Linked DNA regions of Callithrix jacchus. The protein of the gene in region 2 interacts with the protein of the main gene of each other region in a biochemical or structural test. Links are inferred from orthologs where the notes say so. Each region holds a gene or a part of one and is shown on either strand. Other genes may lie near its edges. The genes, in order: LPL, LRP1 and APBB1.

Region 1 (6,427 bases), on a different chromosome or scaffold from region 2:
GAAAAGTACCTCCATTTGGGTAAATGTCAACATGTCCAACTGGTTTCTGGATTCCAATGCTTCGGCCAGGGGACCCTCTAGTGAATGTATGTAAGACGTCTACAAAATCTGCATCATCAGGAGAAAGGCGACTCGGGGCTTCTGCATACTCAAAGTTAGGTCCAGCTGGATCGAGGCCTTAAAAGGGAAAAAACAGGCCCACAGATCTTTAAATCTCCATTCGTATGACATTAGCATGTCACTACTCATCATTTGAATGTACTGGCAGCTATTTAGATTCTTCTTAGCTCCTATTCTGCAGTCACTGGATCTTTACATTCCTAGAGATCCATAAAAGGAGGCTTGGCTCCTTCTAAAATGAATTTGAGTCTCTTAAACTAGCCTTACACAGTGATTTTCACTCAGGATGGCTGGATTTCCTTTTGTGGATTATTTCTCAATCTGTTGAGAAGATGTCTAAACAGAAGTGGGTTATTCGTCTTTGTGTGGATGCCACACCTTTGCATAGATTCTTTCCAAGTGGCTTTGATATTGGTCCTTTTTCTTGTCTCCTAGTACAGATGTGCCTTACACTACTAAAACAGAGAGCTGAGGAAAAATGCTTCCCAGAGAAATCTGCAAGAATTGTGTGTAATTCTGCTTTATTTCAGTGCTGTTGCCAGTGGACGGTAAGCCCGTCAGAGCATCTATATGTTTTCTTATCTGTAATAAAGAGCCCTACAATGAGATAATCAAGTGCTGGGCATAGCTACTGGAAGAACACTGCAGATTTAAGAAAATTTGTTCTGATTCTCTCTCAGAATGACAGTCTTCTCCACTCTTATAATAAGACCAGTGAAATTACTTAATTACCAGTAATTCTGTTGACTTTTCTATTGGTCAGACTTCCTGCAATGCCAGCAGCATGAGCTCCAAGGCTGTATCCCAAGAGATGGACATTGTCCAGAGGGTAGTTAAATTCCTCCTTTGGAAGAGAAAAAGAAAACGAAGGTCCTTATAGTTCTGCCAAAAATCAAAACTTAAAGAAACAAAATGAATATAAATATTGTTTTCAAACTATAGGAAATACTGAAAACTAATTCTACTTATTTTAATTTTGTGTTACAGGTAAGAGAGAAGATATTGCCTAGTGTTGCAATTTTCTCTTTTTTTTTTCACTTTTGCATAAACAAATCCAGTATAGATTTTCTCTTTCTTTAATAACAGATTTAAATTACAAAGGCTTTCCAAGCATCTGAAATAGCATTATTTATTATGTAATATATCTATACATATTTGTATATGTGTATGCATTTGCATATATAACCATATACTCTATGTACAAACATATACACATTTGTATGCATGTATGTGTATGTGTATATGTTTGTGTATGTAGTATATGGGTATGTATTTTCCCATCATTCCCTACTCTAAATACCTGTATCACTTTATCACGGAAGGTTAGCCAAGCAATGATAGACTCAGGAAACATTACAGTAGGAAGGATCAGAGACACATGGTCCAGCCCCTCATTTAACTGGTGAGAAGCCTGAGCCCCAGAAAGGTGATCCCATTTGCCGGTGTTCATTTGCCTGGTCAGCAAAAGAACCAAGAAAAGAACTTTTGTCCTTTGATGGCCAGTCTAATAAATACAGCTTATTTTTACTTCCAACTACCTGGTTAAAATAATTTGCCTCTGTCAGAGTATTCGCTTCCTTCCAACCCCAGCATACTTTTTTTTTTTTTTTTTTTTGAGACGGAGTTTCACTCCTGTTACCCAGGCTGGAGTGCAATGGTGTGATCTCGGCTCACCACAGCCTCCGCCTCCTGGGTTCAGGCAATTCTCCTGCCTCAGCCTCCTGAGTAGCTGGGATTACAGGTACGCGCCACCATGCCCAGCTAATTTTTTGTACTTTTAGTAGAGACGGGGTCTCACCATGTTGACCAGGATGGTCTCGATCTCTTGGCCTCGTGATCCACCCGCCTTGGCCTCCCAAAGTGCTAGGATTACAGGCTTGAGCCACCACGCCCGGCCTCCCAGCATACTTTTTAGAGGTACTTTTTAGGGAATGGTCTGAAAAAGTGGATCTCTTGCAGCTAAGTCAGAACTCTCGACCTCAGTTCCCTTCTATCCTATGCACCTTCCCTTCCAACATCTTCCTAGCTCCATTACATCACTTTCTAATGCTCAAAAAAAAATATTCATCCTTATTCCACACTAAAGAATAAATACTAATGTTTTCATAGAAGAGATTGGTATATCAAGGCGAGGATAAAATGTCCACAGGCCAGCCAACTGGTGGGGAAGGATTTGGCGGGACATACCATCTTTCCTTTGTCCTGAAATCACAAGCTTTTGTCTGTTGGGCCCACTTAGTTCTTGATCTCAGCAGATCTATTCACTATGAAAATATCAAACAATAGAGCACTGTAGGACTATTATTGTCCTTATAGACTGTTCTTATCAAAATGGTGCTTTTGGCTATAAAATAATACCCATGTTCATTCTGAAGTTCTGAATTGACCCTAGAAAATATTTATATCTTTATATCTAAGAGAAAAAGAAGAAAGAACAGCCATTTGTCTGGTTCCAGTCAACAACATTGTTTTGGACACATAAGTCTTCTTCTCCCAGTCTTACCTCCATCCAGTTGATAAACCTGGCCACATCTTGTCCCACCAGCTTGGTGTAGCCCGCAGACACTGGATAATGTTGCTGAGCCCGTGACAGCCAGTCCACCACGATGACGTTGGAGTCTGGTTCTCTCTTGTACAGGGCGGCTACAAGTTTTGGTACCCAACTCTCATACATTCCTGTTACCTGAAGACGATGACACAGTTTTCTTAAAATACCACCTACCACTTGTCATAGATATGTCAGCCTAATACACCTGCATGAGATGGAAAAAACAAACTTGGAAGTCCACTGGCACAGATAGAAAAATCAAATACCGGAAGAGTGTTCATACAGGTCTGTCCCTTCCAAAGCAGATCTAAGTACAGCAGGAAGGGATGGGTTGAGTTGAGGAACAGCAGATTGGAGTTCACCATGCTTTCCATTTTAAAAGTATATTTTAGACATTCAGTAAACTTTTGATTGTTTATACTATTAGAAGGAAAGATATGTCTGAATGCAAAATGGGTCTTTGAGGAAACTAGCAGGAGCTCCTGACTGGGAACAGAACCCTGAGGAATCGCTCCTACCCCACTCACCTTCTCCTCCCTACCTATCTCACCTTCTCAAGGTTGGGGCATTGGGTACCCTTTGTAGTTGACTTTCAGGATCAAGATAAGATGTAATTTCTTCAGAATATAATGTTCATGGCTCCCTGTTTTAGCCAGGGTCTCCGACTTCACAATGGAAACCCTGTACTTAAAGCCAGTGTCATCCAGGCAAGTGGCAAAGCTGCAGGACAGCTGTGTCTAAGCAGCAGGCTGGAATGTATCGCATGCATGCTGCATGCTAAGAGTTCTTTCAGGTCTCTAGTGACACAACTAGAGAGCCTCCTTGTCGCCCTTAGTCTGTGCCCTTGAGTCCCCAGGCAGCCTTTTTCAGATAAAGCAAGAAAATCTTGGTTAACTCTAGGTCCTGTTATAAGTTTTTCTGTATTACCAGCATTTGTTTCTTTTTTTCTTTTCTTTTCTTTTCTTTTTTTTTTTTTTTTTTGAAGCAGAGGCTCACTGTCTCCCCTAGGCTAGAGTGCAATGGCACAATCTCAACTCACTGCAACCTCCACCTCCTTGGTTCAAGTGATTCTCCTGCCTCTACCTCCTGAGTAGCTTGGACTACTACACACACACCACCACACCTGGCTAATTTTCTTGCATTTTTTTTTTTTTAGTAGAGATGGGGTTTCACCATGTTGGCCAGGCTGGTCTTGAACTCCGGAACTCCAGTGATCTGCCTGCCTTGGCCTCCCAAAGTGCTGGGATTATAGGCGTGAGCCACCGTGCCCAGCTCAGTGTTTCTACATTAAGCAATCTAAAAGGGCTGGCCATCCGACTTACTCCTATAGTGGCTGACACCTTTATTAACTGCACACCAACTAATTGAATCCTTTATATCTGATGAACATAAAACACTGATGGAAGTAACCCCAAACAAAGTGAGTGAAAAATCTAAGTACTCACCTTCGGCAACTCAAAAAGGGTTTTATTTTCTAAGTCCTTTCAGTCTGAGCTTTTCTTCTGAGGTTCAGTAATTACTATGTTTTAAATCTTTGGTTTTCAGACACGCAGCTGAACTGAAGCCCTCCCTGCCACCTGTACAAGGTGGGCCACCTGACCCTGCCAGTGAGTTCACTGAGATAAGCCAAGATCAGCGTGGCTGGCTTAATTCTTGCACAGACCCAACTCAGTCCCACAGCCAGACACCAGTCTCTGGGCTCAGGCACTCAAAGTGTCAGGACGCAGGATATGAAAGATGCAGGTGGGCTTAGTGGGGCTGTAGGACCGATGATAGAAGTGGCACCATCTGTTGATATTGGGTTGGTGATGTCATCTTAGTATAAAAAACAAATATGTTTTTCCACAACTTCCCAAGTCTCTCAGGGATAAGATTGAGATGTCTGAGACATTCAGTTTATTTCTGTTGTATAAATGTGTTTATTAAGCTCAAAATTTTTGAAAAGTATTCAAAGCCAAGTTCTGTATATAACCAAAGTGCCTCTACAGATTCCTTTTTCTGGGCCAGACAGAGTGGCTCATGCCTATAATCCCAACACTTTGGGAGGCCGAGGTGGGTGGATCATTTGAGGTCAGGAGTTCAAGACCAGCCTGGCCAACAGGGTGAAACTCCACTTCTACTAAAAATACAAAATTAGCCAGGTGTGGTGGCAGGCACCTGTAGTCCCAGCTACTCAGGAGGCTAAGGCAGGAGAATCGCTTGAACCTGGGAGGTGGAGGTTGCAGTGAGCCAAGATCAGCCACTGCACTCTAGACTGGGCAAGCAAGTGAGACTCCATCTCAATAAAAAATTTTTTTTTCCTACTTACACTTTTTAAAATATAAAAGGATTTATGTTTAGGAATTTGAGCTTTTATCATAAAATATTGAATTTACTATGTTAACACTAGTAAATGGGTATACTTTATTAAACATCAGTATGAATTCTGTTAGTAGCAGTCTTCACCTCTATAAAAATTATAGCAGTTTTCCTCTTCAGTCAGTAACAAAGGCATTTAAATTATGTAGGGAAAGAAATGTGGACTAGATCAATCTTATTTTTAGCTAGTTCTTCTCACTAGAAATTAGTATGATAATATTCACAAGCTCTGACATAATGCATAGATAATATATCCTTAGCAATCCATTTTACATAAATCCTTTTAAATAAGTAACAATCTACTCGGGATTGAAAAATTTTAAAACAAACTTAGCAAGGACTACATATGTAAAGTGACATATTTAGAGAGGAGACTTTTATCAATATTTTTTAAATGTAAATTTAATCACACTTTCACTTTTTCTAATCATCTGGCATTTCCCAGCTCTTTTTGTTTAATTTCTAGAAAAGCTCCCTAAAGTTTACACCTGAAAAGTTCTGGAAGTAGAGTGTCCTAAGATATATCTAGTACAGTCTCTGCTTTATGGATCAGTAAATGGAGGCCCAGAGATGATAAGTGACTTGACCCACTGTGCAGAGCTGGAGAATGGCAAAGCCAGCACAGACCCCATACTTTCTCACTCCACTCCAGCCCTCTCCTCACTCTTCCAGACTGTCTTCTTTAGAAAGGTTCTCCTGGCAATGTGCTGGATGATGCAGGATCATGCCAGGATTCCACCAGTTCCCCACAGCAATCACCTATCTTCTGCTCTGTGGCTGGGCAGAGCACCATTTTTCCACCTCCCAGGAAGCTCTGGCTCAAGGACACCAACCAGGTACAGTGTTACGATGAAGGCTGGCACTGCCTAGGGGGAGTTCTCATGAACCTGTGGCTTCAGATCCCACATGAGCCAGAACCGTATTCAAGTGTAAAGGAGAGCCATGAGAGATATGGGGTGTGAACCCATCACTGGGTCCCCAACAACTAGGGCAGGCCCATCAGGATACCTGGTCAACCCCAATCCAGTCTTCCACAAAGAGCCTCCCTTACCGTCCAGCCATGGATCACCATGAAGGTTTTGCTGCTGTGATTGAAGTGGCAGGTAGCCACAGACTCTGCTATTCCAGGAATGAGGTGGCAAGTGTCCTCAGCTGTGTCTTCAGGGGTCCTTAGGGCAAATTTGCTTTCAATGTCTATAAAATCTCTTCTGCCTGTAAAGAAAAAAATTGGATATGAGGTTAACTGGACAGTTGCTTGGTGTTATTTGTTGGAATGGTATGTTTTAGGTTCAGAGGCAACCACCGCTGATGCTATTTTTGTTTCTGAAGTTTTTTCAAAAACAAATGTGGATTTCAAGAGAACAGATCCCCCAGCGTTGATCAAAGTTGACAGAGAGACAG
Region 2 (6,030 bases):
GGGCATCCACTCTCTGTCCCCCACAGACCCCAAGCTGACCAGCTGTACCGCCAATGCCAGCATCTGTGGGGACGAGGCGCGCTGCGTGCGCACCGAGAAAGCAGCCTACTGTGCCTGCCGCTCGGGCTTCCACACCGTGCCCGGCCAGCCTGGATGCCAAGGTAGGAAAGCAGAGCGGAATGGGGGTGGACACCCCAGCCGTGGACCTCCATGACCTTCCCTGTAACCCCCAGACATCAACGAGTGCTTGCGCTTCGGCACCTGCTCACAGCTCTGCAACAACACCAAGGGTGGCCACCTCTGCAGCTGCGCTCGGAACTTCATGAAGACGCACAACACCTGCAAGGCTGAAGGTGCCGCAGCTGCCGGAGGGCAGAAAGGCTTGGGGGGAGTGGGGGGAGCGGGGGGACAGGCGGCCAGGATAGCAAATGGGGCCGACTTGGAATGGAATATCTTCCTGCGGACACCTTGCCCAGATAGGAAGCTCGAGACTCCTAGGGGCACCTGCCTGGGCACAGGGCTGGCCCGAGCAGAGGGGCAGGTCCTGGGGCCAGCTCACTGAAGGAGTCTGGGGTGCCGCAGTGCTCTGAGTTACACACGCCTCCTCACCCATCACCCCCGGGGCCAAGAGCACACTCAGACATGCATTGCACACTCAGTCGTGGGGCCTCACCTGCATATTCCCCACATGCTTTGACACCCACCTGTGCCTTGTACATACCTGTGAACATTCACACACACCCCTGCACACACATACCATACACGCACACTCCCACCATGCACACCCACACGCTCCATGTCAAGCACACACACCCCACATGCCTACACACCCCCAAGCATGTGCCAGGCAGTCTGTACCAGATGCCATCCAGAGGCTGTTTTCTGGCTGAAAGGAGCAGGTTGCAGTAGATGAGCTCAGGGGAGGAGTGGAGGAGGTCCAGAGGTGTGGCTGGGGAGCCCGAAACCCCAAGCGGGGAGGGTAAGCATCAGCTTCTGGCCAGAGCAGACGGTCCCACCAGGAGAGAGGACACTGCTCGTGTGAAAGGAGCTGAGCTGGGTGCAGTGCACATCTCCATCCCACAGCCCCAGCCCTGGCCTCTTGTTTCTCCAGGTTCTGAGTACCAGGTCCTGTACATCGCAGATGACAATGAGATCCGTAGCCTTTTCCCTGGGCACCCCCATTCAGCTTACGAGCAGGCATTCCAGGGTGATGAGAGTGTCCGCATCGATGCCATGGATGTCCATGTGAAGGCTGGCCGCGTCTATTGGACCAACTGGCACACGGGCACCATCTCCTACCGCAGCCTGCCACCTGCTGCGCCTCCTACCACTTCCAACCGCCACCGGCGACAGATTGACCGGGGTGTCACCCACCTCAACGTGAGTGCCCAACCTGGTGTGGATGGAGTGGAAGCACCCCATAGAGCATGCGGTTCAGAGCAGGATTTGAAAAGGGCAGTGATGGCTGGGCAAGGTGGTTCACACCTGTAATCCCAGCCTGAATCGAGACCAGCCTGGCAACATGGTGACACCCCGTCTGTATTAAAAATACAAAAATTAGCCAGGCTTTACCAGGAGTGTGTAGAAAGAAGAAAAAAAAAATTAGCCAGGCATGGTGGCAGGTGCCTGTAGTCTCAGATACTTGGGAGGCTGAGGCAGGAGAATTCCTTGAACCCAGGAGGTGGAGGTTGCATTGAGCCAAGATCTCGCCATTGCACTCCAGCCTGGGCAGTAGAGAGAGAGACGCTATCACAATAAAAAAAAAAAAGAAAGAAAGAAAGAAAGAAAGATAGGAAAGGGCTGTCGGTGCGAGGGGCAGAGGGTGAGAGTGGGGCAGGGCAATCTCAGGATTGTGTTCCAGGCATGGCCAGTGGGAAAACAGAGCAGTGGGAATGGTCAGCAGCTGGCTCTGCTGCAGGCAGCCCAGGGCACGAGGGGCAGGCAGACAGTCCCCTGGCACCGGTCCCCCATCATTGCCACCACCCGCCATATACATCCTAGCTGACTCATTTAACGTCTTTCGGTGTCACTTTGTCTACCAATAAAATCAGATGATCATTGCCATCGTTCAGGCTTCAGGGAGGGCTCACCAGCCACTTGTGAGAGCTGCAGTTCTGCACATAAGCTCCGTGCCAGTTGAATCTCTTTAAAGCCAGGGAACTGGCTGTGAGCCTGGGGTGACGTTCCAGCAGGGACAGGCTGGCAGAGTGGTAGTGGGGGTAATGTCGGGAAGACAAATCGGTGGTCCCTGAACCTGTGGCTTCCATTCAGATTTCAGGGCTGAAGATGCCCAGAGGCATTGCCATCGACTGGGTGGCCGGGAACGTGTATTGGACCGATTCGGGCCGAGATGTGATTGAAGTGGCACAGATGAAGGGCGAGAACCGCAAGACGCTCATCTCGGGCATGATTGATGAGCCCCACGCCATTGTGGTGGACCCACTGAGGGGGTGGGCAAGGGCCCTGGAGGGAGGCCTCTGGGCTGGTGGTAGGAAGCCTCTGGGACGGAGTCGGGGGCTGCACCCACAGGCGTGCCCTTCCCTCCCAGGCCAGCCTGAGGACAGTCCTTCTCAGGCCCTTGGGCCTTCTTGGCCACCCCTGCCTGGCCCGCCCCATGCTGCCTCTGCCTGGGGCCCCCAGCTAGGCCTGCTCGGGCCGGGACCTGACCTCTGCTTGGCTGGTTGTCATGAGCAGCCTCGCTGTGCCAGCATCTGTGGCTCTGAATGAGCACACTGTAGCTTTAAAGGAAAAGCCCCTCAACCTGCTGGAATGCAGATTCCCTCCTGCCTCTCTGTAGGAGGACAGAACGCCCTCCTCCCAGTCCCCAGTAGTCCCTATACCCAGACAAGCAAGCTGGTGTCCCGCCTGGGCCTGCCCACACTCACCCCTTCTCCCTCCCCAGCACCATGTACTGGTCAGACTGGGGCAACCACCCCAAGATTGAGACGGCGGCGATGGATGGAACCCTCCGGGAGACACTGGTGCAGGACAACATTCAGTGGCCCACAGGTTTGTGGGGACAGAGTGTGGGAGGGGCAGGGGTGTGGAGGGGCCCGGCTCACAGAGCCTAGCTGCTGCTGAAGTCACACAAAGTCGAGGGATAGGATGGGGCTTGGACTGGGACGGGTGGATAGGCTGCAGCGGCTTTTCCGGAAGAGGCAACTGTGAGTGACGTGTGAACAGGGTGGAGTTGTCCCAAGCATAGAGGCAGTTCTGCTTTCCACCCCCAGCCTGGGGACAGGAGGTCAAGCCTCACAGTGCTCTCTGCCTCCCAGGCCTGGCTGTGGATTATCACAATGAGCGGCTATACTGGGCAGATGCCAAGCTTTCAGTCATCGGCAGCATCCGGCTCAATGGCACGGACCCCATTGTGGCTGCGGACAGCAAACGAGGTCAGATCCCGACAGCAGCCTGTCCTCAGCCCTGCCATCCTCCCTACCAAGCCAAAGGCCCCATTTCAATGCCTCCCATCCTTTGTCACTGATACTGTAGTACCTTCCAGGCCTCTCCAGCTGGGCTCCCCCTGAGTCAGGCCTGAGGCCCACCCTGACCCTCTGGCCTACTTGTCCATTCATTGGTTGGGTTGTGTGGAGGCAGCATAGGTACATTAGGAACTTAGCAAATGAGGGGAGAGGGAACAGAAGTCAGCCATGACCCCAGAAGTCTGGGGGTGATGGGACCTTTTGCCAGTGGTGACCACAGGAGCAGGAACAGGTGCAGGGAGGGGAATTTGGTCTGGATTTGTTGAGTTTGAGGTGTCTGGGAGCCACAGGTGCCAGTGTCATGGACAGCGTGGCCAGGGCCTGAGTGACCCTTGGGTCCCCTCTGACTCCACCTCCTCCCCCAGGCCTAAGTCACCCCTTCAGCATCGACGTCTTTGAGGATTACATCTATGGTGTCACCTACATCAATAATCGTGTCTTCAAGATCCATAAGTTTGGCCACAGCCCCTTGGTCAACCTGACCGGGGCCCTGAGCCATGCCTCTGACGTGGTCCTGTACCATCAGCACAAGCAGCCTGAAGGTAGGGGTGGAGGGAGAGCCTTAGCTGGGGAAGTGGAGGCTTATAGGCATTGAGTCTCCAAGCTGTGGCCTTGGGACCTGGTGGGGAGGGGTAATCCTGGGCTCACAGGCCTCAGAGAAAGGTCCTGCTCAGCATACTCCCCACCCCACCCATACCTGCAGTGACTAACCCATGTGACCGCAAGAAATGTGAGTGGCTCTGCCTGCTGAGCCCCAGTGGACCTGTCTGCACCTGTCCCAATGGGAAGCGGCTGGACAACGGCACCTGCATGCCTGTGCCCTCTCCAACACCCCCCCCAGATGGTACGCTCATGCCCTCCCAGTCCCCAGCCGTGCCTCAGGACCCACTCGTTCCTGTGGCACCTGACTTCTCCTGTCCTTGTTGCCCATTCCTCCCCTCCTATTCCCCTGGCTCTGCCGCCTGACTGGCCTATCCTGCAGCTTCCCGGCCTGGAACCTGTAACCTGCAGTGTTTCAACGGCGGCAGCTGTTTCCTCAATGCACGGAGGCAGCCCAAGTGCCGCTGCCAGCCCCGCTACACAGGTGACAAGTGCGAACTGGACCAGTGCTGGGAGCACTGTCGTAATGGGGGCACCTGCGCTGCCTCCCCCTCTGGTATGCCCCCTCATGCCGCCAAGCCTGCTCCTTGCCCCTGGGCCCCAGCCCCACCACCCGCTGCCCCACCTCAGGCAGATGCCCAGCTCCTGCCTCACCTCTAGTCTCCTCTCCACAACCCAGCGTCCAGGCACTCCGGACTCTGCCTCCCGCCCGGGTCCAATCCATTCTTCTGCTGTAGGGCCAGGTGATCCCGAGGGCCACAGTCCCACTCACATATTTTCTCCCACCAGGCATGCCCACGTGCCGGTGCCCCACGGGCTTCACGGGCCCCAAATGCACCCAGCAGGTGTGTGCAGGCTACTGTGCCAACAACAGCACCTGCACCGTCAACCAGGGCAACCAGCCCCAGTGCCGATGCCTACCTGGCTTCCTGGGCGACCGCTGCCAGTACCGTGAGTGAGCCATCCCTGGGCCCCAAGGCAGGCAGGAGGGTGACGGAGGACCCCAGAGCATGGGGTAATGGTCCACCTGTGCCTGGGACCCACAGGGGCCAGTTCAGGAAGGCAGGCCTTTTGCAGCTGAGCCAGGCCCATGTGGCTGGCGCTTCCCCACAAAGATGCAGTGCACCCCCAGCACCAGGATTATCCAGAGAGAAAAGCTGTGCTCAACGTATATAGAACCCGTATGAGGGTGGGGCCTGACTTCCTCTCCCTTGCCAACCACAGGGCAGTGCTCTGGCTACTGTGAGAACTTTGGCACCTGCCAGATGGCCGCCGATGGCTCCCGACAATGCCGCTGCACTGCCTACTTCGAGGGGCCGAGGTGTGAGGTGAACAAGTGCAGCCGCTGTCTTGAAGGAGCCTGTGTTGTCAATAAGCAGAGTGGGGATGTCACCTGCAAGTGAGTGGGGCTCTCCTCCACAGGTCCACCCCGCCCGGCCCCTGCCCTGTCCCAGTCCTGCCCAGCCCTTCCTCAGCATCCCACACACACCTCTGCCAGCCCCAGCCCCAGCCTCTGATTTCCTCCTACAGCTGCACAGACGGCCGGGTGGCCCCCAGCTGTCTCACCTGTGTTGGCCACTGCAGCAATGGCGGCTCCTGCACCATGAACAGCAAAATGATGCCTGAGTGCCAGTGAGTTGGGCCTGGGCTTCACCCAGGCATAGAGCATCCCTCCCTTCCCCAGATCTGAGCAGGACTGCCGGGCCTCAGCGCCCACCCTCCATGCCCTGTCTCCCTGGCAGCAGTGGCTATGGAAGTTATGCCTACTCAGCCATGTCCCTCCTTTCTGCAGGTGCCCGCCCCACATGACAGGGCCCCGGTGTGAGGAGCATGTCTTCAGCCAGCAGCAGCCAGGACGTAGGTGGCAGGGGTGGGGCAGGCAGGGCCGCCGGAACCTAGATCAGGGGGACCGTGTGCCTCCTGCTTCCCTGAGCCTTGGTGACTCAGT
Region 3 (7,173 bases), on a different chromosome or scaffold from region 2:
AGACATGCCACACACTTTTTATATTTTATTTTTATTTTTTGAGGTGGAGTTTCACTCTGCCACCCAGGCTGGAGTGCAGTGGCATGATCTTGGGTCATTGTAGCCTCCACCTCCTCAGCCTGGATTCAAGTGATTCCCCTGCCTCAGCCTCCCAAGTAGCTGGGACTACAGGCGCCCACAACCATGCCTGGCTAATTTTTTGTGATTTCAATAGAGATGGGGTTTCACCATGTTGCCCAGGCTGCTCTTGAACTCCTGACCTCAGTTGATCTGCCTGCCTTGGCCTCCCAAAGTGCTGGGATTACAGTCCTGAGCCACCACACCCAGCCATGCCACACACTTTTAAATAACCAGATTTCACAAGAACTCACTCATCCTGGGGAAGACAGCACCAAGCCATGAGAGATCCACCCCTATGACCTGAAAACCTCCCACCAGGCCCAACCACCAGCATTGGAGATTACAATTCAACATGAGATTTGATCATGGATGAATATCCAAACTATATCAACACCCATACTGACCTTCCTGTACTTCTCCTGCTACTTAGAATACTTTTCTCTTCTCCTTTTTTGATGACCTCTAGCTCCTTCATCCCTTTCTCTCACTGACTTGTCACTTCCTATAAAAGCCTCCTAAACCTCCCAGGACAAATTAAGCCCACTCACATAGCTCCCTGTGTGTAAGCCCACTCACACATCTCCTTCAAGATATTCATCACATTCCTAATTACACATTTAATGTCACTTTCCCCTGTTAAATTTCAAGTTGTTTGAGAGATGGAACTGTATCTTGTTTCTTGACCTGCTGCTAGCACCAAGGACAGTACCTCACACATAGTAATTATTTGATGAAAGAAAACGAATGAATGAATGAATGAGGATACCTTTGTTCTTTTGTGTAATTCTTACTCATCCTTCAAGAACCCAAGTCAGATGTCATCTCCTCCAGGTGAGATGCAGTCAAATCTGATTCATCCGTGGATCCCTAGGGCCTGGCTTGGGACCTGATACATGGTTCATATATCATAGGCATTTGTCAAATCACTATAAACGATTGGCCATGAGTTGATAATTGTTGAAACTGAATGACAGGTATATGAGAATTCATTATATTGTTCTGTCTACTTTAGTATATATTTGAAATTTTCCATAATAAAAAGTTAAAACATTTATATTTACCTCAAAATAAAAGTCTATTCAAAAATGACCTTGAAAGTTCTGGATTGGGAAGTCAGTAGTTGGTGTCATTCATTGGAATGGATGGAGTCCAGTGTGGGATGTGTGTTGTTGTTGTGGGGTGTGTGTGTGTGTGTGTGTGTTGAAGAAGTTTCTTTTTCACCCCAGAGAAACTCCTTAGATGACTAATGAAGGGGGATGTAATAATGAATTCAAGCTAGATGGAGTGGCTGATGCCTGTAATCTCAGCACTTTGCAAGGCTGAGGTGGGAGGATTGCTTGAGCACACGAGTTCTGGACCAGTCTGGAGAACACAGTGAGACCCTATCTCTACTAAAAATGCAAAAAGCCAGGTGCAGTAGAGCGTGCCTATGGTCCAGGTACTCCAGGGGCTGAGGTGGGAGGATCACCTAAGCCCTGGAGGTTGGGACTTCATAAAGCCGTGATCCTGCCACTGTACTTCAGCCTGGGTGATAGAGCGAGACCCTGCCTTGAAAGAAAGAAAAATAAAGAACGAGCGAAGATTTGGACATCTTTAGTTTTAGGCACCTTAGAGGGGGTAGTATTTAGAGGCTTTCTGGATGGTAATGTAACCCCTCATTATCCTTGATGGCCTCTGGTTTACTGATCTGACCACTAGGATGTATTCTATTATCCAAGGAGGGTCTGTAGTAAATGTTGCACCCCACCATCTTTCTTTACATCTTTACACTCTTCATTCACACTCTCCCCTTCCCTGTGAATTTCCACAGGGGAGAAATGTATTCTTGACATTTTCCAGGCCTTGATGTCAGTTTTATGCTCAGCAGCAGGGGTAGTTCAGTGTCAAGAATCACTGAAGCTCCAGTCTGAATTTGTCGCTGTGACTGCGGGCAAGTCGCTTTACCTGTCTTAATCTTAGCATTAGCCTCTGAAAAATGAGGATAAAACTGGTGATTTTACAGGGCCGATGTGAAGATTAATGCGCATCAGCAGTTTAACACAGCCCGACCCGGTGTAAGTGGTCAATAAATAGGAGCTATTATTATCAGCAACGCTGTGTCCTCAGAGCCTCCCCATCAGGACGTCGGGGAGCAGTGCAGCAGGAGCGGAGCAGGCTGCCTCCCCGGAATCCCTCCGGACGCGGCCGCGGTCCCCGCACCGCCACCGCCACCGGGGCTCCAGCTTAGTCCGCGCGTCTGCCCGCGGGGGTGCGGGGCCAGGGCCCTACGGGGCGCGCAGGGTGAGTCTGTGGCATCGTAGTGGAGGACGGCGCCGCGCTAGGCAGGGGTCCCAGGGAAGCGGCTGCAGGGATCTCTGCTGGGAGGGCTGGACCGCGGGGCTCACGGAGGGCAGAGGGTCTCCTGCAGAGCGAGGCCCCCAGGAAGCTGCGGCAAGTACCGCGCCTGCCGAGCTCGCTCCCGCGCCCGCCCCAAGATGGCGCCCCTCCCCCTCCCTCTGCGCGCGCCTCCGCCGCTCGGGGCGCGGCCCCGCCGCCCGCGCGCTCCTGGGCGGGGGATGTTGTGATGGAGAAGCCGCGGCGAAGCCCGAACCCCGCAGCCTGAGCCACCTCCGTCATCTGGGCCCGGGGCCTCGCCGCGCAGGTAGGAGCTGTCCCTGCCCCGGCCCAGCCGGGGTGGCTGCGCCCCGATCCCCAGCGGCCGGTGGACCCTGACGCCTCTTCACCGCAGTAGCCGGGGTCTCCGGGCCGGGCCCCATCCCCCATCCCCGGGCCGCCCTCCCACCGCGCGCCTGTAGACCGTCCTCTCATACCCTCCATCGCATGGTCCCCTCGGGTCCTCACATCGCCCCCTACGCTGTCCTTTACCTCCTGCCCCTCGGGGTGACTAGGGGCGGGTATGGAGGACGCGAAGCGAGGGGCGGTGGGGGTTGGGGGAGGGGAGGCCCAGGGCCGGGAAGGGGACTTGGGGTGGGGTGGGCTGGCCGGACGCTGCTGCCGCCGATTCCAGCAGGGATCCCAGGCCAGATCTGTCAAGCGGCATTCTGTTGCCCTCAGCGACCGAGGGGTGTGCCCTGGGGCGGCTGTGTCCCCAGCTCAGCCAGGGCCTAGCACTGGCAGGAACACTCATTAGGAGCAGTTTTCCCACTGCCAATTCCTAACCTGTTTTGAGTCTGCCTGTGTATCTCTTGCATTCTGAGCCCCTCCCGCTATGGTCCTAGCTCTCGCCACCCTTCAGAGTCTACGCTTGCTGTCTTCATTTCCTTACTTCCCATTCATTCTTAAAATCACTCCACTCTGTGTCCCTGACACCCACTGAAACTGTCCATGGCAAGGTCACTGGAGATCTCCTGGTGGAGAACTCCAGTGGACACTTCGCTGTTATCTTCTTTACCTCTGAATAGTATTCCGTGGGGTCTGTTCTCTCTCCTTGAAGCATTTTCCTGCTTTCTGTCCTGCAGCATTGCCTGCTTTCTCAATCTCATTTGCTTCCTTCTCTCTTTAGATGCTGGCGAGGCTCTTGGCTCTGTCCCGAGCTGTCTTCTTTCATTCTCTGTTCTTTCTCCCCAGATACTTTATTCACTCCCAAAGCTTCAAATTTCATATATATGCTAATGAGTCCCAAATATATGTATCCAGCTCAGACGTCTTTCCTGAAATCCATACTTATATATCCAGCTGCCCTCTTGACATCTCCCTGAAAGACAAACAGGAATTCCAAACCTATAGATTCCAAGTTGAGTTATTGTCCCTGGTTTTCTCTGTACCCTACTTCCAAATCCCTTCTTCCTTCAAATCTCAGAAATGGCTATTTGCCAATCTGGAGTCATGAGCAAGACTCAAGATTAACCCCCTCTCACCTTCTGCATCTCATTTCACTAAGTTCTGTCACATCCACTCCCTAAATATTTCTCAAATCCATTCATTTCACTCTTTTCCCACTGCCACCCAAGTTAATCCCAGCCACCACCTTTTTTTTTCCTTGACTCCTTTAATAGCATACCCTCTTGCCTACCTTCCTTTAACTATTCTCAACACAGCACCCAGAGTGTTGCTTTAAAAAATGCTTCCGGCCGGGCGCGGTGGCTCAAGCCTCTAATCCCAGCACTTTGGGAGGCCGAGGCAGGTGGATCACAAGGTCAAGAGATCAAGACCATCCTGGTCAACATAGTGAAACCCCATCTCTACTAAACATACAAAAAATTAGCTGGGCATGGTGGTGCATGCCTGTAATCCCAGCTACTCAGGAGGCTGAGGCAGGAGAATTGCCTAAACCCAGGAGGCGGAGGTTGCGGTGAGCCAAGATCGCACCATCTCACTCCAGCCTGGGTAACAAGAGCAAAACTCTGTTTCAAAAAAAGAAAAGTGCTTCCAATCACTTATTCATTCAACACATATGATTTGAGCAGCGACTATATGCCAGGCACTGTGTTAGGTCCTGAAGATATAATTGTGAGCAAAAGAGTTGGGTCCTCGGAGCTGACAATCTAGGAGGAAAATCAAATAAGAATAACATTACAAATGTACTAGATACCATGAAGAAAAGCTGTATGGTGCCTTGAGAACATCAAGAGCAGCAGCTAAACTGGTTTTGGGGATAGGGAGAGAGGGTCAAGGATGGCTTCTCTGAGAACACGACTTTTGAACTAAAATAAAATGGATGAGTAGAAGTTAATTCAACTTAGAGAGTAGGAGAAGAGGTCCCAGGCAGCATGGAAATCATGTGCAAACACGTTGTAGAAAGAAACCACATAATGTCTTTGAGGAATCAGAAAGAAGGCCACTGAGGCTGCAGAGCAGAGTGACCAAAGCCAGGAGCAGGGACGAGGAAGGCAGGTGCCAGACTAAGCAGGAAATTTAGGCCACGTTAAGAATTTTGTCTTAAGGGCTGGGTGTGGTGGCTCACATCTGTAATCCCTACACTTTGGGAGTCCAAGGTTGGCGGATCACCTGAGGTTACCAGTTCAAGACCAGTCTGGCCAACATGGCAAAACTCCATCTCTACTGAAAGTAGAAAAAATTAGTCAGGCACGGTGGTGTGTGCCTGTAATCCCAGCTACTCAGGAGGCTGAGGCAGGAGAATTGCTTAAACCCAGAAGGCAGAGGTTGCAGTGAGCTGAGGTCTTGCCATTCCATCTCAAAAAAGAAAAAAAAGAATTTTGTCTTAAGGTCTTTGTCCTTGATGGTAGTGGATGTGGAGAGTCAATGAAGTCTAGAAATTTTTCTTGGAGAGGAAATTATCAGAGGGATGGATTGAACATAGGGAGTGCAGGAGAAGGACATGTCAAGGATGTGCCCCTACTTCAGATTCACGGAATAGGATGGGTTGTATCATTCCATGAGCCAGAATCCTGAAAGAGGATCAGTTAGTGTGTGGGAGTGGGAAACGCCAGTGGGTGTATTAGCTTGAGACATCCAAGTGGGGCTGTTGAATAGAAAGATGAATGTACTTGTCTGGAGCTCAGGTGAGGGGTCTGAAATGGAGATGTGAATTTGGAAATCATCAGTGTATAACTGAAGCCGTGGACGTGAATGAATACCTATATCAATTATAGGATGAGAAAGAGAAAGGGGCATGAGAATATGAGCCAGCAAAGGAGTCTAGGAACCCAGCAAACAGTAATGAGAAGTGTAAAAGTAAGCCAGGAGACGAGAGAGTGGAGGCCACTGAGAGAGATCCGGGGGGTCAGATGCTGCCGGGAGGGCACCCAAGATGAGGACTGTGTCTGTTGGATTGAATGACATAGGGGTCATGTTGACCTTGGTGGGAGCTGTTACTGAGTCGTGTTGGGAGTGGAAGCAGGTTTGGAAAGGGTTGAGGAGTGAGTGGGAGGTGAGGAAGTGGCAGCAGTGAGTGAGACAACTCTCTCAAGAAGTTTGCCCTGTATGGGGGAGGAAAGAGCAGTGAGTGGCTCTGGAGGAGTGTCAGGTTCGGTTGGGAGATAGTGGGTCCTATTGAGAAGGAGAGGTTGATTATAGAGGAGAAAATAGATAAACAGTGGTAAATAATTCCTGGAAAGGCATCTTAGGAAGAATCCAAATTATAGGTGAGGCCGTTGGTTTTTGGGAGAGAAAGGGATAGGTGCTGAAGTTTGGTTGGATTTTATGTTTGAGGATGTTACCCAGTTGGCTGGCTCCTCTGTGAATTAGGAGGGCCCATCCTCTGACAGGGGTGGGCCACAGAGTTGTGTCCTAGTCTCAGGCAGGCCTTCACTGATGTCCGGGCTGTAGTAAACCCCAGGTTCCTATAATGTCCTGCTCTTCGTCCTTCATAATATTCAGTCAACAAATAGGGAATGCTGTGGGTGCCAGGCACTGTTCTAGATGTTGGCATTACACTGTGTCATAACGACTTGTTCAGTGCCTGTTTCCCCCCAAACCGAGAACTCCTCCAGAGGAGGAACCATTTCCACTCTCCCCTGTGTCTAGCACAGTGTCTGGCATATGGTAAGCTGTCAGATTACATGACTCCTGACTGGGCAAGACTCAACCCCTGCCCCTGTGGTCTGATACCAGGATCTTCAGGTTTAGTGGCTACTTCTTTCAGTTCCTGCCCTGGGGCCCCTGCCTAGCTCCCTGCCTTGAATCAGAACTTATTTGGCTCTTTGCATCCTTTGGTAACTCCAATGAGAGGGGAGAAGTTAGGTTGTGTTTCGTTTTTAAAAAATTGGACTGAGGTTATCTTTTTGACCTCGAGCAGTGGGGTATTGGTGACCACACTACCTCAGGCTAGATGCTCAGGTTTCAGCACTTAAACAGAGTTTCCCCAATCCTCCTCTAATACTTCCTGCCCCGGTGACCAGATTGGCGGGGTTGCCCTGCAGTCAACTTGGCTCTTCACTCTTTCAGCCTCACAGCCTATGCACCGTTCTCAGAGCATATCTCCTAGTGCCAAGGAGGTTGGTCTCAGCCCGACCTTTGAGAAACCTGGCTCTCTACACCACTGCTTCAGAGAAGGGCCTGCCATCCTTAAGGTCCTCTGAGCATGGCAGAGTCTTCTACTTCCTGAAACCCATGGAGATGCCACTCTTGAACAGTGTCTGAGCCAAGATGTTG

What was found.
Region 1: the proteins of LRP1 (region 2) and LPL form a complex in vitro, tested with the Homo sapiens proteins (3 studies listed by BioGRID). The link is inferred for Callithrix jacchus from reciprocal best matches to the Homo sapiens genes LRP1 and LPL.
Region 3: the proteins of LRP1 (region 2) and APBB1 form a complex in vitro, tested with the Homo sapiens proteins (2 studies listed by BioGRID and IntAct, with this or other methods). The link is inferred for Callithrix jacchus from reciprocal best matches to the Homo sapiens genes LRP1 and APBB1.

Annotation. Positions count from the first base shown.
Region 1 is NC_133514.1:21,538,448-21,544,874, forward strand, and holds part of LPL (lipoprotein lipase), read right to left. Parts: intron 6,239-6,427; coding exon 6,078-6,238; intron 2,804-6,077; coding exon 2,624-2,803; intron 965-2,623; coding exon 853-964; intron 178-852; coding exon 1-177. UniProt on the Homo sapiens protein: Key enzyme in triglyceride metabolism.
Region 2 is NC_133510.1:62,495,134-62,501,163, reverse strand, and holds part of LRP1 (prolow-density lipoprotein receptor-related protein 1), read left to right. Parts: intron 1-26; coding exon 27-161; intron 162-233; coding exon 234-353; intron 354-1,111; coding exon 1,112-1,380; intron 1,381-2,271; coding exon 2,272-2,450; intron 2,451-2,902; coding exon 2,903-3,009; intron 3,010-3,275; coding exon 3,276-3,392; intron 3,393-3,847; coding exon 3,848-4,024; intron 4,025-4,185; coding exon 4,186-4,326; intron 4,327-4,464; coding exon 4,465-4,638; intron 4,639-4,871; coding exon 4,872-5,033; intron 5,034-5,306; coding exon 5,307-5,481; intron 5,482-5,612; coding exon 5,613-5,714; intron 5,715-5,874; coding exon 5,875-5,939; intron 5,940-6,030. UniProt on the Homo sapiens protein: Endocytic receptor involved in endocytosis and in phagocytosis of apoptotic cells. Required for early embryonic development. Involved in cellular lipid homeostasis.
Region 3 is NC_133511.1:72,102,753-72,109,925, reverse strand, and holds the start of APBB1 (amyloid beta precursor protein binding family B member 1), read left to right. Parts: upstream 1-2,652; 5' UTR 2,653-2,761; intron 2,762-7,173. UniProt on the Homo sapiens protein: Transcription coregulator that can have both coactivator and corepressor functions. Adapter protein that forms a transcriptionally active complex with the gamma-secretase-derived amyloid precursor protein (APP) intracellular domain.